Drosophila melanogaster: one gene and its partners. The protein of the gene in region 4 purifies or fractionates together with the protein of the main gene of each other region. This does not show direct contact. Each region holds a gene or a part of one and is shown on either strand. Other genes may lie near its edges.

Region 1 (5,104 bases), on a different chromosome or scaffold from region 4:
TAGTCTGTTTAAACTGGACTTGGTTCTGCCGCGGTGAGTGGCATATGATTGTTCAAGGAATTTCCACACATTTAACTAACGGGTTGGTGAATACCTAGGAAACGAAACCGCGTATCAAGGAAGTTGGTGGAACTGGTTTTGCATTGCATTGTTATATTAGAAGTTGTAATAAAATTTTGAGTGGCTTGAAACGATTGTTTATCAGGGATATTCTATCGACACAATGCGAACCACTGATCAGCCCTACCTCTTCCCAAATATGGCTCAATCTTCCATCAAAAGGCAATCAATTACAGCATTTTTGCTCGAACCCAATCGAAACCTAGTTTTTCAAAGTCTCGACTGCAAAAATTCAATTAATTGGCCACGACGGTGCGTCATTTTCCGCAAACAAAGGACGCAATCAGATCGTGCTCTAATTCAGGCAAACTCAAAGATGCAGTTTGAATATTTAGAGGGGTATATCATAAAGGGGGGATGGGAAACTTTAAAGAAATATAATTAAATTCTAAGGAAGCTCATTGTCTACTTACTTACCAACTAACCATTCCCAACTGCCCATTCTACGAAAATCAACATGTGTAAAGTAATCTGGACTAACTTTCGGATAAGTAAACCCTCTTTTTTAACTACGCCCCTGCTGAGATTAAAACTGTTAGTGATCCGTTACACGTCGTTTGCTGCTGTGTCGTGCTAACCTTGAGATGATTACTTCAATTTGTAGTACGCGATGGCCAGCCTGGCATAAATGGTGGCTCAGAGGGGGGGGGGGGGGGGGGGGCACCAAAGGGGGAATGTCAGAGCCGAGCTACTAATTCGAGACAATTTATTAAATGAGTCGAAGCAGGGCAAGTACGTAGCATAAGCCTGGCGCAAATATGCCGTAAAACAAAGCAAGGCAGCCCTCAAAAATATGACAAAACCAAACGCTTTTGCTTTTTTACTGTTCGTAGTTTTGGCCTGGTAATGAGTTGGGGCTGAACTGGCGTCTATTTTGGCCATAATGATGTGGCGCCACGCTGCGCCCCACTTCAAAGGCGTTTCTACAGCGTCTTCGGGTGGTGGCCTCCCCATAGCACACCCCTCTTGTCTTTCCCAGATGGGTTTAATAAGCAAAACGGCCTACATGGCAATTAAAAAAGTGTCAGTAGGAACAACAGTCAGTGCACTGGAAAACAATTGAAGAACAAAGCCACTTGCTGACTTTAGTTAAAAGTATTGCAAAAATATCTCAAGATTTATGGGATTTCATGAGTCAGTAGCTCGTTTTAGTGGAATGATACCACTGATGTTTTACTAAGACTTCGAAATTAATCTACAATACCTCAAACCATTTTTGGCAGTGTACTATCACATTAACCAAAAGATTTGACAGACGACGCCCGCTGCAAGCAAAATAAGGCACAGAAAACGTAGAACATAGAAAACTTCGACTTGAAGCCCACGAAACAGACGAGCGAACAAATTGCAACATGCAACAGAAAAAAACCATGGGGATTTTCAGGAGGGGGCTGCAACACCGCCGCCCACCGAAATGCAATTTTAACTTATTTCAGCCATTGTCTTTTTATTTCATAAATATTTGTGTTTACGGCTAATTTTATTCGTGCGCGAAGATTGTTTTTGCTAGGTAGTTTAGAGCTTGCAAAGGCCATTTCAATTAAATCGTGATGGGAGATGGTAATATATAGATAGCCAACTTTTTTCCGATCATGATTTCATAATTAATACGCCTTAATAATGGCCAATTTGATATGTTAATACGAGTATTGATTTCAGCAGATAGAACTCGCATTAAGTGAGGTTTTCCCTTCCATTTCACAATTATTTCGACTTCGATTTGCATACATCGCCGGTTATCTCAGAAATCAGACAATTTCCAAAGACAAACCACAGCCAGCCAACAGTCGCTCCACATCTGAACTGAACTTCACTCTCGTTTTTTTTCGCTGAAAAGCATTAAATAATTGTGAATTGTTGGTGGGGAAGGGGGGGCGTTGCAGGGGCGTTGTGGGGGCCTCAACTTCTTGGGCTTCGCTCCGCAAAGCTCGGCTTTGGCTGGTATTTCATTGTAGTTTTGTTTTTGCCCCTGCTGACCGACTGGCATTCGGCTTTTTGTGACTCGGCTCGGTTTGGGCCGCTCGGGCGTTGTCTTGTATATAAAAGCGGCTTCCTTCTTGGTTCTAGTTATCAGTTGAATCCAGCTCAACGTACAGCACACACTCGCGTCTGCAAGAAACAAAATCCCAAAAATCCAAACAATGGCATTCTTCAAAGTGAGTGAACAGGACAGCCCTGTGACAGCCAAAAGTGCCCTGTGATCCAATCGAAATAGCAAACTAATAAAACAAACCCCTATCCCCTGTGATCTAGTCCCTCATCTGCCTGGCCGTCCTGAGCGCCGCCTCCGCCGGAGTCCTCCACGGACATGGTGCTGGTCTCTACGCCGCCGCCCCGGCCATCTATGCCGGCCATGGTCACCACGACGAGGGAATCGATTACCATGTAAGTGGGCAAGATAACCCAAAAAGGATTAACTTTCAAAGTAGCGCATATGAGGATTACTAACTCTTAAAGAAAATCAATGTCCTACTATTGGAATCCATTTGACTTGTTTAAAACATACATTTTGAAAAGCTTCCTCTTAATTGAAAATGTGCATCATGAGTTTATTGCTCTTTTAAAATCAAACGACTACAATACCATCCAGAGCTAAGAAATGCATGCATCTTGACTCATAAAAATTACTTATACGACACGTAATCCCTCCCGCAAACATTACTCATACGACCTGTAAGCCCGAAAAAGTTATACAGCCTACCGGCTGTTCATGCAATCATAAAATTATACTTAATATGCCCTAAAACTGACACCATCAGTCCGCACAACCTCTCACCCACTCCTCTGTGGATGCTGGTGGCCCAGGGTCACTGTGGCATTTGCCATTTAGCCATTTTCCCACGCTAGCTTCATTAGCATGGCCAGCTGCTTCGAGTGGCGTGTGGCATGCACATAAAATTAGCACCCAATCCTAGCAGGCCCGTACTCTTCTCATGGAATCTTTACGCCAATCCGCAGGCCTACCCCAAGTACCACTACAACTACGGAGTGGCTGACTCTCACACCGGAGACGTGAAGTCGCAGCACGAAGTGCGTGATGGTGATGTCGTCAAGGGATCCTACTCTCTGGTGGAGCCCGATGGTTCGGTGCGCACCGTGGAGTACACCGCCGATGACCACAATGGCTTCAACGCCGTCGTCCACAAGACCGGCCCCACTGTGCACCACGCCGCTCCCGCTGTGGTTGCCCACGCCGCTCCCGCCGTGGTCCATGCCGCTCCGGCCTATGCCCCAGCCATTGCCCACCATGTGGCCGCCGCTCCCGCCGTGCCCTACGCCGGATCCCTGGCGCATCAGGTGCCCGCCTACGGATACGCCACCCACAACGCTCACGCGCATGTGGCCCACTACTAAGGAAGTGGAGCAGTCCGCTGGATGCACCACCTGAAGCACCACCTGCACCGCTAACACCACTCTTCTGTAATTTATTAAGCACGTTGACGACCTCACAAAACGGCTGATCGATCCACTGACGAAGCCTGCTAAAATACTCAGTACCACAGTCATGTCCATCATGTCCTGCCGTGGATTCCCCGGACTTTCCCGGCAGCCTCTGTCTCCCTCACACACACACACACACATTGCCGTCTCTGTCTCAGCTTTCGCGCAATTCTCTCTTTTGTTTGTTAATCAACCTTCTCTTTAATTGTAAATAATGAAAACATCGAGTGAGGAACAAACGCCCATCCTGCCACACGCCCACGAAGAAGAACCAACCTGAAAAGATGAAGAAAAACGAACAAAATGTAAAAAAAAATAATAAAAAAAAACACATGTATTATAATAATTTTGTGTATACTATAAGTTTGAAGCTGAAACGGCTGACAATGCTATAAATACAAAATGTAGAGAATTATAAAAATTCAAATATTTCGTTTTTTTACTGCACAGAAAGGAACTGAAAACATAGATTGATCTTTAATTTGATTATTCTGTTTTATCTTACAATTAATTAGTTGATTGGCATTTCTGATCAGAACACATTCACTTTCAAATTGATTCCAAGTATGGGTAATTATGGTTTCCATTAGTTATGAATGTTATGGAAATTGATGGGTAGAGAGCACTTCGTCGAGATCACGCCACTTGATTGACAATAATCGATCTGGCTAATTTGTGGGCGTGGAGTGAAAAAGGTGAAGGTAATCATCGGCGGTTGATTATCATTTGATCCGCCAATAACCAGTTGGTGTTTATTAACTGATTATTTATCTGCAGAAGAACTATGCCATCTGTACTCTGGCAAGACGTGCGCTTTCATAATAAGATTCGCATCAGCATTCATATGAAACTTGAAGCTTAAATATAAAACTATATATAGCCTTATGTATCTGGAATTTGCATTCATAGAGTTTTCTTAATTTCCGATTTAAGGATATTTCACCAGATGCACTACTCGAACTCATTAAATGGGCTTTCTTTAATATTATTTTGTAGAAAACTTTTGGGCATTGATTTCTTAAACAACTTTAAACTACGATTTCAAATTGATTTTTGAAGGCTTAGAAAAAAATAGATAGATGATGTGTGCTTTTTGGCTGCTATAAACAAGACTTACAGTCATAGACTACTTTCAAGCTTAATAAAAACAATATGAATGCTACAAGCAACTATGCCACTGTATTTTTTATTGAAAAGCCATTTTAAACATTTATTAAACTTTATTATTACTATTATTTTACTACTTATATTATTAGTTATTAAATTAATTATTTAGTTAGTACCTTATAGATATGTAGAATTTTTTAATAAGGGTTTCATACTAAGCATACCTTTTTATTGGCTTACAAATATACAACAATTTCCCTAGAAATGTATCCTTTCCAATAGACACTTTTTTAATAACACATAACAAGGTCGATTGATGCCACCGCATTTTGCCTATCCACTTACGCACTTTTACTTTTGTGGCCGTTGGAAGCCACCGCAGAAGGGTGCCCACGGTGGAGTTGCCCCCCAGTGCGGTCACAAGTTCGGGGGCATC
Region 2 (5,789 bases), on a different chromosome or scaffold from region 4:
AACGAGTGTGAGATTAACAAGCGGAGACGCAAGGCCTGCCAAGCGTGTCGCTTCCAGAAATGTCTACTAATGGGCATGCTCAAGGTAATTTCATAGTCCCGAGTTAAAGTTCCTAAACTCTAATCGCTTTAACTTTTCAGGAGGGTGTGCGCTTGGATCGAGTTCGTGGAGGACGGCAGAAGTACCGAAGGAATCCTGTATCAAACTCTTACCAGACTATGCAGCTGCTATACCAATCCAACACCACCTCGCTGTGCGATGTCAAGATACTGGAGGTGCTCAATTCATATGAGCCGGATGCCTTGAGCGTCCAAACGCCGCCGCCGCAAGTCCACACGACTAGCATAACTAATGATGAGGCCTCATCCTCCTCGGGCAGCATAAAACTGGAGTCCAGCGTTGTTACGCCCAATGGGACTTGCATTTTCCAAAACAACAACAACAATGATCCCAATGAGATACTAAGCGTCCTTAGTGATATTTACGACAAGGAATTGGTCAGCGTCATTGGCTGGGCCAAGCAGATACCTGGCTTTATAGATCTGCCACTTAACGACCAGATGAAGCTTCTCCAGGTGTCGTGGGCAGAGATCCTGACGCTCCAGCTGACCTTCCGGTCCCTACCGTTCAATGGCAAGTTATGCTTCGCCACGGATGTCTGGATGGATGAACATTTGGCCAAGGAGTGCGGTTACACGGAGTTCTACTACCACTGCGTCCAGATCGCACAGCGCATGGAAAGAATATCGCCACGAAGGGAGGAGTACTACTTGCTAAAGGCGCTCCTGCTGGCCAACTGCGACATTCTGCTGGATGATCAGAGTTCCCTGCGCGCATTTCGTGATACGATTCTTAATTCTCTAAACGATGTGGTCTACTTGCTGCGTCATTCGTCGGCCGTGTCGCATCAGCAACAATTGCTGCTTTTGCTGCCTTCGCTGCGGCAGGCGGATGATATCCTGCGAAGATTTTGGCGTGGAATTGCACGCGATGAAGTCATTACCATGAAGAAACTGTTCCTCGAGATGCTCGAGCCGCTGGCCAGGTGAAAAGGATTATGCGGGCGCCCAAACTAGTTGATCTAGCTGATAAGCAAAGGTGCAAATATAGTCTTAGGTATATATGGATGTATACTAGAGTAGATTAAGCGTAGGATAAGCCATGTATATAAATAGTAAAATACTTGTCGGGTAAGATTAGTTCGCAGAAAAAATCTCTTTTAATGGACTACCAACTACAGCAACTGGAAAACCCTACTTATCTTCTAGAATCGGGGTGTGCTTACACTGGTTAAAGGCGCATATAGGTGTTATGTGTCTAAAGTTGTGAGTCACAGATCTTCAATAATTTGTTCAATTCTCACTGGTTCTGATATATGTATATGCCGCAACCTTCTGATGTAACGTATGAATTTGTGGGCACTTTTAAAATACGATAGTGGTTCTACAATACAATGGATTATACTGTTTCTAAGTGTCATGTAACCCAGTGATTCTGTGTCTATGTGGTACACATGCGGTCAAAAGAATAGCAATGTCGTCCGTGAATAATAAACCGTTTGTAACTGTTGTTTCCATACTCCCTAAGTTCTGTATTCTTTGGGGATTTTCTTTTCCTAAACAAATTCAAATTAGTTTTCTAGAATTCAGTGCATTTGATCGCATTTATACATCACTATTTCCTAATCCATACATAGGCTGATATATCGCAAAACTTCAAAAAATTAACCATGACAAAGGTATTCTGTGGTCCTTGAGGGCTTACAATTAGTGCTAACGATGGTCATATTTACATTTGCAGACTAGAGACGTTCCATCATCACCAATTAGAGCTAAGCCCAATTAATTCTACGGTGTATGTGTATCAAAGTACTTGTTGGAGCTTTCCTGAAAGCGATCGCTACGCGCCAATTCGTTGCGGAAGTAGGAGATGGTCCGCTGAAGTCCAGTCTCTAGGGGAACCTTTGGCTCCCAATGGAGCAACTGGCGGGCTCGAGTTATGTCCGGTTTTCTGCGCTGCGGATCATCTTCCATGGCCTTCGATTGCTTTATCACACTGGGCCCGCCGACCAGTTTCTTGATGATCTCGGCAAATTCGCCGATTGTCTGCTCCACAGGATTGCCTAAATTCACCGGCTGTGTGTAGTTGGATGCCATTAGGGCTATCATTCCGTCCACCAGATCCGAAACATACTGAAAGGAGCGCGTTTGTTTGCCATTTCCATACACCGTAATGGTTTCATTCCTCAGCGCCTGAAGTATAAAGTTTGACACCACTCGTCCATCGTTCATATGCATTCTCGGTCCATAAGTGTTAAAGATGCGCGCCACTCGGACTTGCACTTTCTCCTGTCGATACAGATACATTTAAAGAGCAATTAATTTGACTCCCAGATTGCTGGCCAAGATCAAAAAATGTGGTCAGTGCTCGCGCTTGGAAATCTTATCTCGCGTCAGCCAACCGAGCGGAACATCAATTAATAGCATTCCAATTGAGATCATTTAATGCTCAACTAGCGATCGAAACAGGAAAAATCTGCCACATTTCTGGATCTCAGCTAGTTTAATGTTTTTTTTTCGATCTGGCTTAGGAATGTGGTTATCCAAAAAAGTATATATATTGCTAAAGGTATTACCTGTTTGGCATACGCATAGCTCAGCGTCTCGGAGACACGCTTTCCCTCGTCATAACAGGCTCTCGGTCCAATAGGGTTTACATGTCCCCAGTATGTTTCTGGCTGCGGATGCACTGTGGGATCGCCGTACACTTCCGAAGTGCTAGCTATCAAAACCTTGGCCATCACGCGCTTGGCCAGACCTTTCAAAAAAGATATACTCGTTAGGTGTAATCCTTATTTTCTTTGATTGATATTATAAATATTTACCCAGTACATTGATCGTGCCCATGGTGTTGGTCTTGATGGTCTTCACCGGATTGTACATGTAATGCGGTGGCGAGGCTGGCGATGCCAAGTGGTAGATCTCATCGATCTCGATGAAAAGCGGATTCACTATGTCGTGGTGGATGAGCTCGAAGTTCTCGTGCCCCAGCCAGTGCTCGACATTTCGCTTGCGTCCCGTAAAGAAATTGTCCACCACGATGACCTCGTGCCCCTGGACCATCAGATCGTCGACCAAGTGGGAGCCCACGAAGCCAGCTCCTCCGGTAATTAGTATGCGTTTGCGATTCTTATAGTTCAGGTATTTAACCTTCGGATACTTGCGCGGTGTGCTGGTCTGGAGGCTACGAACTTGTTCCTCCAATCTGGCCAAATTCTCCCTTGTGCGCTGGAGTTCGGCCTTTTGTTCTCGAATAAGAGAGCTCTGCTCCTCGTACGCCATCTGAAGGCTCCTTTGTAGCGGACTTTCCGTGGGCGGCCATTTGGCCTGAACCTCCTCGACGCCGGGAACGGAAACGGCGACCTTTCCGCTTGGGCAGAAGCTGGCCATTCGGTAAAGGTAGACCAGGAGCAGGAGGAGCAGCGAGATGGCTGCAACGATCTTCAGACGCTTTTTGGTGGCAGTCATCGTCGGTTATGGGTTGTGTACTGCAGGGTTCCAGTGCTTATCAGCAACTGATATCGCCACATTGCATTCTCGTTCGGCTTTAGAAACTATATAAACAATACAATTGCGTTATCAGGAGGTGCCAGAGTGGCCAGATGGCTCAAACGGAATTTCTAAATGGATTAATAATCTAACGCCAGGGAAAAGCTCCCGCCTAATTTTAAAATTTACATCAAAAGTATCGACAGGCGAACATTTTGATTTTGGATTATAAATTATAATGAATTGATAATGAATTAGACATTTTTGTTGGTGATCTTCCCCAGGGACGAATATTTTTCGTTTTAACGATAAAAGGTCGGAAATTGCCAAAAAATGAGTTTGAAAACTAAATTTGTTTGAGGGCTTTCTTAGGCTGGTCAGCAGGGACTACTTTCCGAATAAAGTGTTTGCCCAAACGGCTATTGAAGGCTATTTAAACTGCCAACGATGAGCATCGATCGCCAGTCGGGCAAAGTTCTTAGTGCCAAGTGTTGTAGTGCTCAGCATGAGGCTTCCTTGGGTGATTTTCTGTACAGTTCTGCTTTTAATTTTTACGAACAACTCAAATGCAGATATTCCCGGGTGCAACTACTACGACACGGTTGATATCTCATACATTGAAAGGCAAAACGATTCGTATTTATATGATGACATCGAAATTCCTGCTAGCTTAACTGGATACTACGAGTTCAGGCAGTTTGGGGACGGTTCGATTACGCCGATTGAAAAGCATTTAAGGGCCTGTGTTTGCAGCGTGCGGCCCTGTATTCGAATCTGCTGCCCAGCCAAGAACTTTTTGGCCAACGGAAAATGCGATGATGGTCTCAAAGAGGAGCTCGCCCGGTTCAAACCCTATATATACTTCACATACATGGACCTACAGGCACGAGTACCACTCACCGATATGGCTATTATCAGAGATGAGTTCTTTGATTGTGATGAAATGATTTACATCAGCGACTTTAACTATTTCTTAGAAGAGGTTAGCATTCAAATCTTCAATAAATGTGGACTTATAGTTTGGTTCCAGGATGGAAAATTTTGGGTTACCGTTGACCTCTTCATGGAAAAACAGGACTACTGCTTGTACCGGCACAACTTTGATTCGGATTTTCCAAAGTCCATGTGGATAATACGACACCGCTGCACAAGCCACATATCTCCTGGATCCTTAGAGAGTAATTCAATTATTATTTATAACAAAAGTCATCAATATCGTTTTCATAGCTATATAGAAAGAAACGAAAATAACTCCTTATTGGTGTGCAAACTGCTGACTGCATTCTGTGTGCCCTTTGCAAGTTTTTTAATTACAATAAGCTGGTTTTTTATTTCTTATATTTTCTTTTTCAGTTCTAATTATAACAATGATATGCTTTGTCCTAACAATCGCAGTATATCTATACATTAAGAAGCTGCGAAATGTTACTGGCAAGTGCATTGTATGCTGTATAGTTTCGAGGTTTATCCAGTGCTTGATCATGATACTAGATCATTTAAATCTATTGAATGGCATTTGCTCTCCAGCTGGTTAGTTCGAATTGGAGATATCTCTGGAAGCTTTAAATGTTATATCGTTGACTTCTTGCAGGTTACAGCTCGCACTTTTTCCGGATGGCTTCCAACCTCTGGCTCTCCGTCATCAGCTACCATACGTGGAAAGTCTTGACGTCGCTCAATCGAGTCGACCCTAACTATCGGTTCCTGCGGTACAACGCCTTCGTCTGGAGCACAGCCGCAATCATGACGGGAAGTATTTATATAGTTAATCAGATTTGGGAAAACGATCCCAGTAAATGGAACTGGTTGCCTCTGGTCGGTTTTATTCGGTGCTCGGTCAAAGGTAAACTTTCAATGCGATTGCTTTTAAATCGTTACCATGGTTACGTATTGCTTTTCCATATCAGATTGGCACCCATCCGTCTGGATCTATATAAGTGGACCGTCGCTGGCCCTGAGCACTTTCAATGTCGCCATGTTCGCCCTGACAGCCATTTACATTAGGAAAGTGAAGGGGGGTATAAATAAGTTCACAAATGAGGAGGAGGGAAGGATTAACTGCATAAACTTTGACAGCCAGACGTAAGATATGATAAAACCTTGGACCTTGGTAAACTAGTTATCCTTGCCGTATTATCCACATAGTTACCTACAGTTCCTGCGGCTCTCCATCGTGATGGGCCTTACTTGGATATTCAATGTCATTCCGTATTCTGCACGGCTCCACATTTTCTGGGAATG
Region 3 (4,077 bases), on a different chromosome or scaffold from region 4:
AAATGTGATTTTTGCCAGCCATTGTTACAGTTTTGCACTTGGCTGTTGTCGCTGTTCCTCTTGGTATTAATCATTATAAAACGAGTAATAGTCAGGCTTTGCTGTACACATTGTAATGTGCACGACATTGTGACAAAGGCTGGGGTAAGCACGGCCTTGACCGAGTGGCGTCCAACATGTGGTATACTTAATACTTAATTGGCCACACTCGAGTCACAGCCAGCGATCCGCAGATGGGAGGGAGTCAGCTATGCAAATTGGCCTCCACCCAACCGACAATTATGTTAAACTATAACAAAAAATATATAATAACTCATTGCGGTCACAAGCTGGTCTAATCAAATGCATGTAAGTCGAACTAGTCACCTCTGCTCCATTTGCGAACTCCAGACTTGCGACTTGGGAAATTTCCTTAACCAGAATGGGGCGGACAAATTTCAGGTCCGACTATTTCCCCAGAAAAATCGCATAAATCACGAAAGGAAAAAATATTGAGTTGAGCCACGAGTTGAGTTGGAAAATTGACGGCTTTTAATTTCGACTTTTGAATGATTTGTTGGCAATCAAAGTATTTTGGGCGTCGCTTGGGAAATGCGAATCTGAATCAAAATCGAATGTATGCATTGGATGGACGTTGCTCAATGGCTAGCAGACAAACAGAATGCAATTGGTAGGCCATTAAAATGCAATTACAGGCCACCAGAGTTTGGTGGTCAGCTGCAATCGGAACCAGCACGAATAAAACCAAAAATCCAAAACAACCGAGTGGGTGGCATATTTGGTTTTGTAGCTGCGGATCGATAGATAGCCACGCAATTTGGCATCCTGTTTGGTGTCAATCAAGCCGCCTTCGATTGAGATTTATGCGACAATTTGGTTAGCATTTGCATAACGCCACGGGTCGAAATCACGAGGTGTTGGCTTTGGTGAAGGGTTCGGCTTAGTTTTAGATTCGACTAGCACTAAGCCCCGTTGATATGCAGATTGTCCATTTGGGGTCCAATCAGCAACGATGGCCAGGGTCGCTGAGTCGAAAGAATTGTCGCCATCGTAATTGTTTATTAATTTATGACTCATAAACTTTAAGTCGGTCTTTGTTCGCCCTGAGAGAATTTCGATTTTTATACAACTCTTTGATTCAATACACCGATATTCAAGGCTCAAAACAAGCATTTTGCAATTCTTTTCGAGCCTCGTGTTCTGACTGATCCCGTGATATGATTTCAAAGCTGTTTCAGAATTAAGCATGGCTATTAGGAAATCTGGCAGGCCATTCGAAATGCGGCAAATATGATTTACCTATGTTTCCAATTGACTACGCTCCTTCCACCCAAGTTACGCATACGCCATGTGCGCGATAACAAATCAGTTAAATATTAATGCATGCAAAATATAGGCAAACCAGCTGCCGTCCAGCAGCCACCAAAATGACCAACTGCACCAATCTCCACTCTGTGTTTGTCAGTTATTAAAGTGAGTAATTTTTCATGGACCACTTGAGTTTATTTGCTGCGTGGAGAGGCAGCTCCGATTGATCATTTGCATCTGGACAACAACATTTTCCACACCTACGGATCTCTATATCTCTAATGAGCTGTCAGTCAGTCAGTCAGCTGATTGATAATAAAGTGCGTGTTTTCGGTTTTAGAAAGGATTTAGGCAGATATGCTTAATAGGCTTGCAGGCTTATATTTAAATAATTTGAACACGTGAATTCAACGGTTTTGAATAAAACACAATATTCATAGATAAATTTAAGTGCTCTTTCAAAGGAAATGTTACTTAATGGCCAATTTAGATCACTGGAATAATTGCAAAATTACTAATAGGCAAAACCAGATTTAGCCGTAGAATTTTCTCAGCTGGAAACCCCCAGAAGACAATTGTTCATTTCCACGACGAAATGAATGGAAATATAAAAGTTTCCGTTAGAGCAAAAGTCGCCGACAATAGCTGACGAAAAAAATACAAATTGAATTAAGTGCTCGTGGTGGTTCTCCATGAAAATCTTGGGGATTCGGTGGCTAAAATTGGCGGTGGCTCAGTGGCTCAAGCCAAAGCCGCCGCGTGACTGATCTCTTTCGCGATCTGCTGGTCGGCAAATGCACAAAGCTTCGGCTCTCGGCCGTCGAAAGGGGCGTGTTGGCTCTCCCTCTCCGCCGCTCTTTGGGCCAAGATTTGTCAGAATATTTCTCATGTTGCGGGTATAAATAACAGGGCTACTTGAGACGTCTAAGCATAACACATTCAGCTCTTCGGTCAAGAAGTCCAAACAACACAAAACCAGCAAAATGTTCAAACTGGTAAGATCAGGATTAAAGGATTACCGCTCGTATGAAGTTAACATAGAAGTTTCTTTTCCGCAGATTGCCCTCATCTCTGCCCTGTGCGCCGTGGCCAATGCCGGAGTAATCTCGCCCTACAGCCATGGATATGGACTGGGATACGGCGCCGCCTTGGCTCCGGCTTATGCCGCTCCGGCTGTGATCTCGCACGCCCCGATCATCAAGAGCTACGCCGCTCCCATTGTCGCCCACCCGGTGGCCACCTCCTATGCCAACACCTACAAGGTGGCCACCAAGGCCATTCCAGTGGTCCATGCCGCTCCTCTGGTCCATGCCGTGCCTGCTCTGCACTCCACCTCCACCTACCATGGATCCTATGGCGGCTACGGTAGCTACGGTCTGGGATACGCCGGCTACGGACACGGAGCCTACCTGCACTAAGGATCTGGATGTCGGAAAGGATACCAGCCCCCCGTTGACGACCCCGATTGAAGTGAGAACATTAAGCGGATAATTCGCATTTTGCTGCCGTCAAAGTGTTGAATTTGCATTTCGTAGTCAGAAGCGGAAATACAAATTGTGTACAAAATCCCTCAAAAACCCAGACACCCACTTGGAGACAGAGACAACTAGAGAACTAAGGACAACTAACGGGAGGCGGCGAGAGCGAGAGAGATTGATGAAGGATCAAGTTTCGTTGATTTTGTTATTATGGTGCAACTCCATGCATTGTGGCTTCATAACATTTTGTAAATAAACGATAAATGACTCTTTAAACGAATATGATGGCTTATTTCATTTACTGGTTGCTTATATATGTTAGTTTAAAAATATTCACTTGAAATTATGACGGATGGATATTTAAGATCCATATCCAAATATGCCTTACTACACACAATTCAATGAAATCTTTACGATACCTAACGTTTTGGAAGCAATATGAATTTTCAGAGTAATGTGGAAATATTTTAATTTGCCGTTTTAACACACACACATTTCGCAATGTAAGCCACTTAACTCAAAACTAATTGTTAAGGGGACAAATGTCTATTTATGAAGTGTGGAATTATTTTCAATTTAGTTTAGTTGAGCGTGAAGTGATCAGTTTTATTCGCATTTATAAGGATTCCAGATAGTATTGCTAGTTCGTAGATGCGAGCATTTCACAAAAAACTGCTTGTTCAATGATTTTCAACTGCGAACTTACCCCAACCATCCGATCGCCATTCAGCATTCAATTGCACTTCAAATTAATTTTACTTGAGCAACTTGCTCGATTCATATCGACTCCCGTCGGGTGTTTTGAAACTTGCAAGGAAAAAACCAAATACCAAAAAAAATTGTTTTATTGCAACGCCTTGCCCGGCCCACCTGCTCACTATACCCCCCCCCCCTCCTCTAACAATTATCATTGCGGGGAAACGAAAGACTCAAGCGACAAACGCGTGCGCCTGTCAACAGGTTGACCAGTGAAAAGTGCGTTGAAATATCTTTTTATTAATGGCCGGCCAACTGTCGCAGCTAAATGCTTTTCGCCCAGTTTCGCAAATGAAAAATGGGAGCACATCAACAGCTGCTGAAAAGTGAATTGAGTCACTTAATTACCTTTTTAACGCCGGCCAGCTGATCCTGGACCGAAAATACCAACTATAATTCATGCGAAAATTGAAAAGTCGTGTATTGCGCTTTGCCGGCGGCGTAATGGAAATCAATTTACGATTTTACTTAATAAATGTTATCTCGCCGAGTGAAAATCATAAGATGATGGGTGGGGTTGCTAAATATAATTCAT
Region 4 (4,977 bases):
TCATGTCATCTCAGCTGACTGACTGGTGAGAGGATTTTCGGGTTTAAGGATCAGGAAGGCGTCAAGACATCTGTTTTTATTGTGACTGAGTATTATTGATTTATTACAACTTAAGCTGTACTTAATTACAGGTATGCATAATTCGCATCTCTTGGCTTGAAATAATTACTGGTATCCTACTTGTTACCTTGCAAGATTAAAGGGTCTTCGTATAACTTTTTATTAAAGTGATCGGAACATAAAGTTTTTGAACCATTCCGTCTATTTAATAAATATTATTAGAGAGCTGTAAATATTCCAGAAAATGATCCTCAAAAAGTCTAGTAAAAATACATTTTTTAAATATTATTTATGTTGAGTAGCCACCAAATCAAAAACGACAGCTGTTTAATAACAACATACTCTTTATTTACAAAATATATTTACAAGATATACAATTACAAAGAACCCTATGACAAACTATTTCCAGCAGCTAACCAGTGATAAAGACAGTGAAATTTATTTTATACATTTTATTTTATTTGTCCTTAATAGATTTTCACATAGATATTTCTGTTCTTATTATCCATTCAATTCATTGTGCGCCGAAACCTTTCACTGATAAACTTGGCCAGCTAAACTGTTCATAAATGGCGAAATTTACAAACAGTTAGCTGGTATTTATCCTAAACCTGGAGTTCTTGGCCCAGCACAATGGCTTCCATTGGATGGCTGGATTGGAAATAATTTACAAAAGGCATTGCTTGTTTCATCTTGGGGGTTCTTATCAGCTACAGAGAGTGTGGCAGGGCGGAAGTTTGACTTCCAGGGGGTATTTTAAGAGTTTGCTTCTGCGCTCGGTTTTGGAAAGGAAGGCCGACAGGTGGAGAGAGTGGGGAAGATAATTGAAAATGTTGCTAGATATCCTTCGGCTCATTTCCATTAAGTCCGCTCGCTCCAATAGATTCGCCTGCTTCCGGTCCATTCCGTCCGCTTACTTGTGGTAACCATGGTGGTCGGAGTAGACGGTGGCATCGTGGCCAATGGCGCTAACAGGGTAGCTGCTGACGGCAACGGTGGGTGCGTGCTTGACCACGGAGTGGGACACCACGGGCACCTTCACGTAGACGGGGTAGGGACGATCCACATGCACGGGCACCTGGACATTGACGGCCTTCTCCACGTAGACAGGGTAGGGCTTGGCCACTGGCACGGGGTAGGGCCTGGGCACCTCAACGGGCACTGGGCGATCGACGGGCACATGGACGGGCACCTTCTCGTGACGGATCACTTCGTAGGGCTGGGGCACTGGCACGGGCACCTTGACGTACTCCTTAACGGTCACGGGCACCTTGCGGATGACTTCGTAGGGCTGGGGCACGGGCACCTTAACTTCGACGGGCACGCGCTTCTCATGGACGACGGGATAGGGGCGGTCCACATGCACGGGCACTGGGATTCCCTTGGTGATGGTGATGGTCTTGTGCACATCGGCCTGCTTGCTGATCACATAGGGGGCGGGAGCGTGGTGGACAGCGACGGCGGGAGCAGTGTGTCCAACGGCGATCGCGGGACCACTGTGGCCCACGGCGACGGCAGCGGGTGCGGAGTATCCGGTCAGTCCGTAGCCATGTCCGTAGCTTCCGTGGCCGGAGATGGAACCATGTCCCAGGTAGCCGGTGTCCAGACCAGCATGACCGTAGCCGTAGCCCAGATCGAGCAGGCCGCGCTTGTCCAGCTTCTTCTCCAGCGGCACCTTCTCACCCTCGGTTTTGCTGGCGCAGGCGGAGGCCACCAGCAGAGCGGCTAAGCAGATCTGCAAAGAATTGAGTTGGTGCGATTGGTTATGAAACTATGCATTTTAGAGACTTTTAAATAATAATAATATATTAATTTTCTAGCAAAATTCTAGATATTTGTGATTTCTTAATAGTTTATTTCACAATAACTAAGTTAGTAAGTAGAACTTGATTCCTTGCAAATATAGTTTAAATCTATTTCAAAATGAAATGAAATAAAATTTAGTCATACTATCTTCGAATTCTCAACTGTGCAAACTCATCTATCATGAAATTCGTATAGTCTATTCTTTAAGTATTTGAAGCTTCTCTATGATAAAACAATTCAAGATATGCAACCTACATAAATTGCCTAACGAAAACGTTGACTTTTATCACCCATTGCCTAGTTTGATCGATTACCTAATCGCAATAGAAAGCGAAGGCGATAGGCGATATGTGGCCCGATTCGCATTGTGTCGTCCGTTGTCTCATCGCCCTCTTTCGCGATTCAAATGGTCAAGTGAAATTTGTGCGTGCCTGGCATAAATGATGCAGTGCAGTCATCGCCCACTGCCACGCCCAGTTTCCGCAATACGCCTCAACCGACTGGCGTCACGTTACGCATACGCAGTGGGCAACTCAGCGAATGCATTTGGAGCTGGCTTTAATTGAGCACATGAACCCAGTTGATTACGGCCTGGTAATAAACGTGGCTGGCACTCCAATTATGATCGTTCAGTTAATAAACGCTTATTAGCCATGTCGTTCAAGTTGAATTTGGTCGTTTGCGAGCATTTCACCTTTGATTAAGGAAATTTATCGGATTGAATTGTTTCAGGAAGTTGTTTGTTGTTGAAGATGGCCAGGTAAACAATGTGAGGCATTTGCAATGCAAAAGGCTATATTGTTCCAATTAGTTCATGTCAGCATTGTTCTGTATGCAATTCTTTGAATTATTACTTGATTTCTCACACTAAAATATGCTACCAACAGCGATAGTTCACATACTCGTACCCATTTACATATCAAACTAAATTCTATATGTCTAATTACTATATGTCTGTTGTACTTACGAATACTTTCATTGTGGAGTCTAATGGGACTTGCCAAGGCTGTAAGTAAACAAAGAAAACAATAAGATTATTTATACGAAATGCAGCATAGATATTTTTTTTTTTATAAGATCAGCACTTTAATTGGTATTAACAATCTGTTCTTTGGGAAAATGTTCCTTGGAAAATTGAAGTTATTTAGAGCACACGGCTCGCACAGTTATTAGTTTATAACTTTTAGATCACAGCTTAAACTTTATTTCCGTTTCACATAGACTACACGCATTTTAGAAACAAACAAAAATTAACTTGGCATTTGGCTTCACTTACAAGCAACTCAGTAACAGCGAAATAGACTGTGGAAGGATTGTAGAATCACTAGCGATTCCAAACCTTTGACTGGATGCTGTCTGTGGTCAGTGGCGCGCTTTTATACCCCCAAAGAGTTTTTGTGTCAAAACGAAACTGAAAACACCGCCAAACCAAGTCGCTCAGCGGTTTCCAAAAGCTTTTCCCACCACAAACCAGCCTAATTGCTCTCTTCAAAGCTCTGAGTTCGGCTTGGTTTGCGCTTGTATTGGTTATATTTGTGTGTATTAGTGCGGCACGGAAAGTTGCAAGCGGAAGCGCTCACCAATACACTGGCATGCCACCAATACTCACGCAATTGCGGCTTTTCTCTGTGTGTATTGGTGACTTTAGCCGCCAACTTGAAAGTGGCTTATAAAATATGGGTGCAAATGTGATCAAATCAATTTGGGAACATAAAAAGCAAATAAAATAAATTAACTAAATCTTGAATTGAAATTTATATTGGGAAAATCCCGCAGAACGTACTAGCAATCCTTTCTTGTTTTTTTTTTGTTTTATTTGGATAAAAAGTCTTCGGGCTTCTTAGCAAGTTGTTCCCAAAAATATAGATTTCAACGAAAGGTCATATGTCTATCAAAGTCGTTATGTTTTGTTTGTCAAGTTTCAGAAGTCAGCAGTTTTGGTCGAACCTGATTCCTAATATCAATAATTCTGAGTCTACCTAATGGAAATTCAACTAGATTTTGTTTTGATTCCATTAATTAAAAAAAAAAAAAAACTTGCTTATTAGTATCATATTTATACGTTCGGCTCGCATTTTAAACAAAGGGTCTATAAATCTGGAATTGTTCAAAGGGGTAATCTGGTTTTAATCTTGTATAATTTCAATATAAAATTTATTTCGAAACATTTTGTGGCCCAATAAACAAAAGTGTAACAAAGCAATTTCTTTCATTTGAGTTTAATAAATCTCAAATTCACTTAGCAGATCTAATATCGTAGAACTTGATTTAACGGTAACTTGATTTATAACTTAATTAATGTTTCTTATAATTTTGTATGCATTTGGCGAACCGAATGTTTTCCGGATTTTAGTATTTAATTTTTAACCGGATTCAGATCTTTTAAAAATGGCAATTAATTACATTAAACTTTGATTTTGTAATTGATATTGTAGTAAGCAACATTTATCAAAGTTCACTGTACTTGTAACCAGTTACTTGCTTTATATCAGTATACATTGTTGCAAGATAGTAATTTGAGTGTGATGTCTCAATTTCTATTGCTGTCATAATTAGGCTTTCTGGTTTTCTTGCCACCTTTGGGGTACTCGGGTTACCATTTTGCACTTCCTGCAACAACCAGGTAAAAACGGAAGCTGCCTCTCTGGAATTTCTCGGCATCTTTGATGTCATTGACAATGGTTTAGTGATCACCGGGCGGAAAAAATAGATACTATCTGCGATTGGGGGTGGTGAAAAGTGATGCAACAGATGCGGTGCATAACCGTGGGCTGCGAATCTCAAGTTTCGCACTCGAAATCGATTATCGGAACGCTGGGTGTGGGATTGTGGAGTGGAATACCAACGGGGATTGCAAATGGATCTGTGACTGGAACAGTGACTGGATCGGGTGCCATGCGTGAGATCTGCACTGTGGCGTAAAAGTGAAAGGCCTTTATGGGTCGCCGTTGCAGTAGCGGCATTAGATGCTTGTGCATTTGCACAAAATCAGATTATATATCAGCCAGGCTGAGTCCGTGATTTGGCAATTGCCAGCATAATTATTTGTTAATGCGCAAAATGAAACCTGTTGAATGTTGGACTCCGCTCCAATCGGCCGACTGGCAGCCA

What was found.
Region 1: the proteins of Vajk3 (region 4) and Cpr62Bc purify together in Drosophila melanogaster (affinity purification with mass spectrometry, with the first as the bait; one large-scale study listed by BioGRID). This does not show direct contact.
Region 2: the proteins of Vajk3 (region 4) and Uxs purify together in Drosophila melanogaster (affinity purification with mass spectrometry, with the first as the bait; one large-scale study listed by BioGRID). This does not show direct contact.
Region 3: the proteins of Vajk3 (region 4) and CG4962 purify together in Drosophila melanogaster (affinity purification with mass spectrometry, with the first as the bait; one large-scale study listed by BioGRID). This does not show direct contact.

What each region holds. Positions count from the first base shown.
Region 1 is NT_037436.4:1,839,162-1,844,265, reverse strand, and holds Cpr62Bc (cuticular protein 62Bc), read left to right. Parts: upstream 1-2,181; 5' UTR 2,182-2,261; coding exon 2,262-2,276; intron 2,277-2,373; coding exon 2,374-2,505; intron 2,506-3,078; coding exon 3,079-3,474; 3' UTR 3,475-3,985; downstream 3,986-5,104.
Region 2 is NT_037436.4:8,178,779-8,184,567, reverse strand, and holds Uxs (UDP-xylose synthase), read right to left. Parts: upstream 3,646-5,789; 5' UTR 3,528-3,645; coding exon 2,885-3,527; intron 2,818-2,884; coding exon 2,636-2,817; intron 2,349-2,635; coding exon 1,848-2,348; 3' UTR 1,199-1,847; downstream 1-1,198. Other genes in the region: ERR (estrogen-related receptor), read left to right, coding at 1-84, 141-1,049; mthl7 (methuselah-like 7), read left to right, coding at 4,054-4,726, 4,902-5,078, 5,140-5,391, 5,456-5,630, 5,694-5,789.
Region 3 is NT_037436.4:16,293,698-16,297,774, reverse strand, and holds CG4962 (uncharacterized protein), read left to right. Parts: upstream 1-2,227; 5' UTR 2,228-2,291; coding exon 2,292-2,303; intron 2,304-2,366; coding exon 2,367-2,726; 3' UTR 2,727-3,064; downstream 3,065-4,077.
Region 4 is NT_033779.5:13,944,256-13,949,232, forward strand, and holds Vajk3 (Vajk3), read right to left. Parts: upstream 3,222-4,977; 5' UTR 3,143-3,221; intron 2,873-3,142; 5' UTR 2,846-2,872; coding exon 2,834-2,845; intron 1,796-2,833; coding exon 974-1,795; 3' UTR 501-973; downstream 1-500.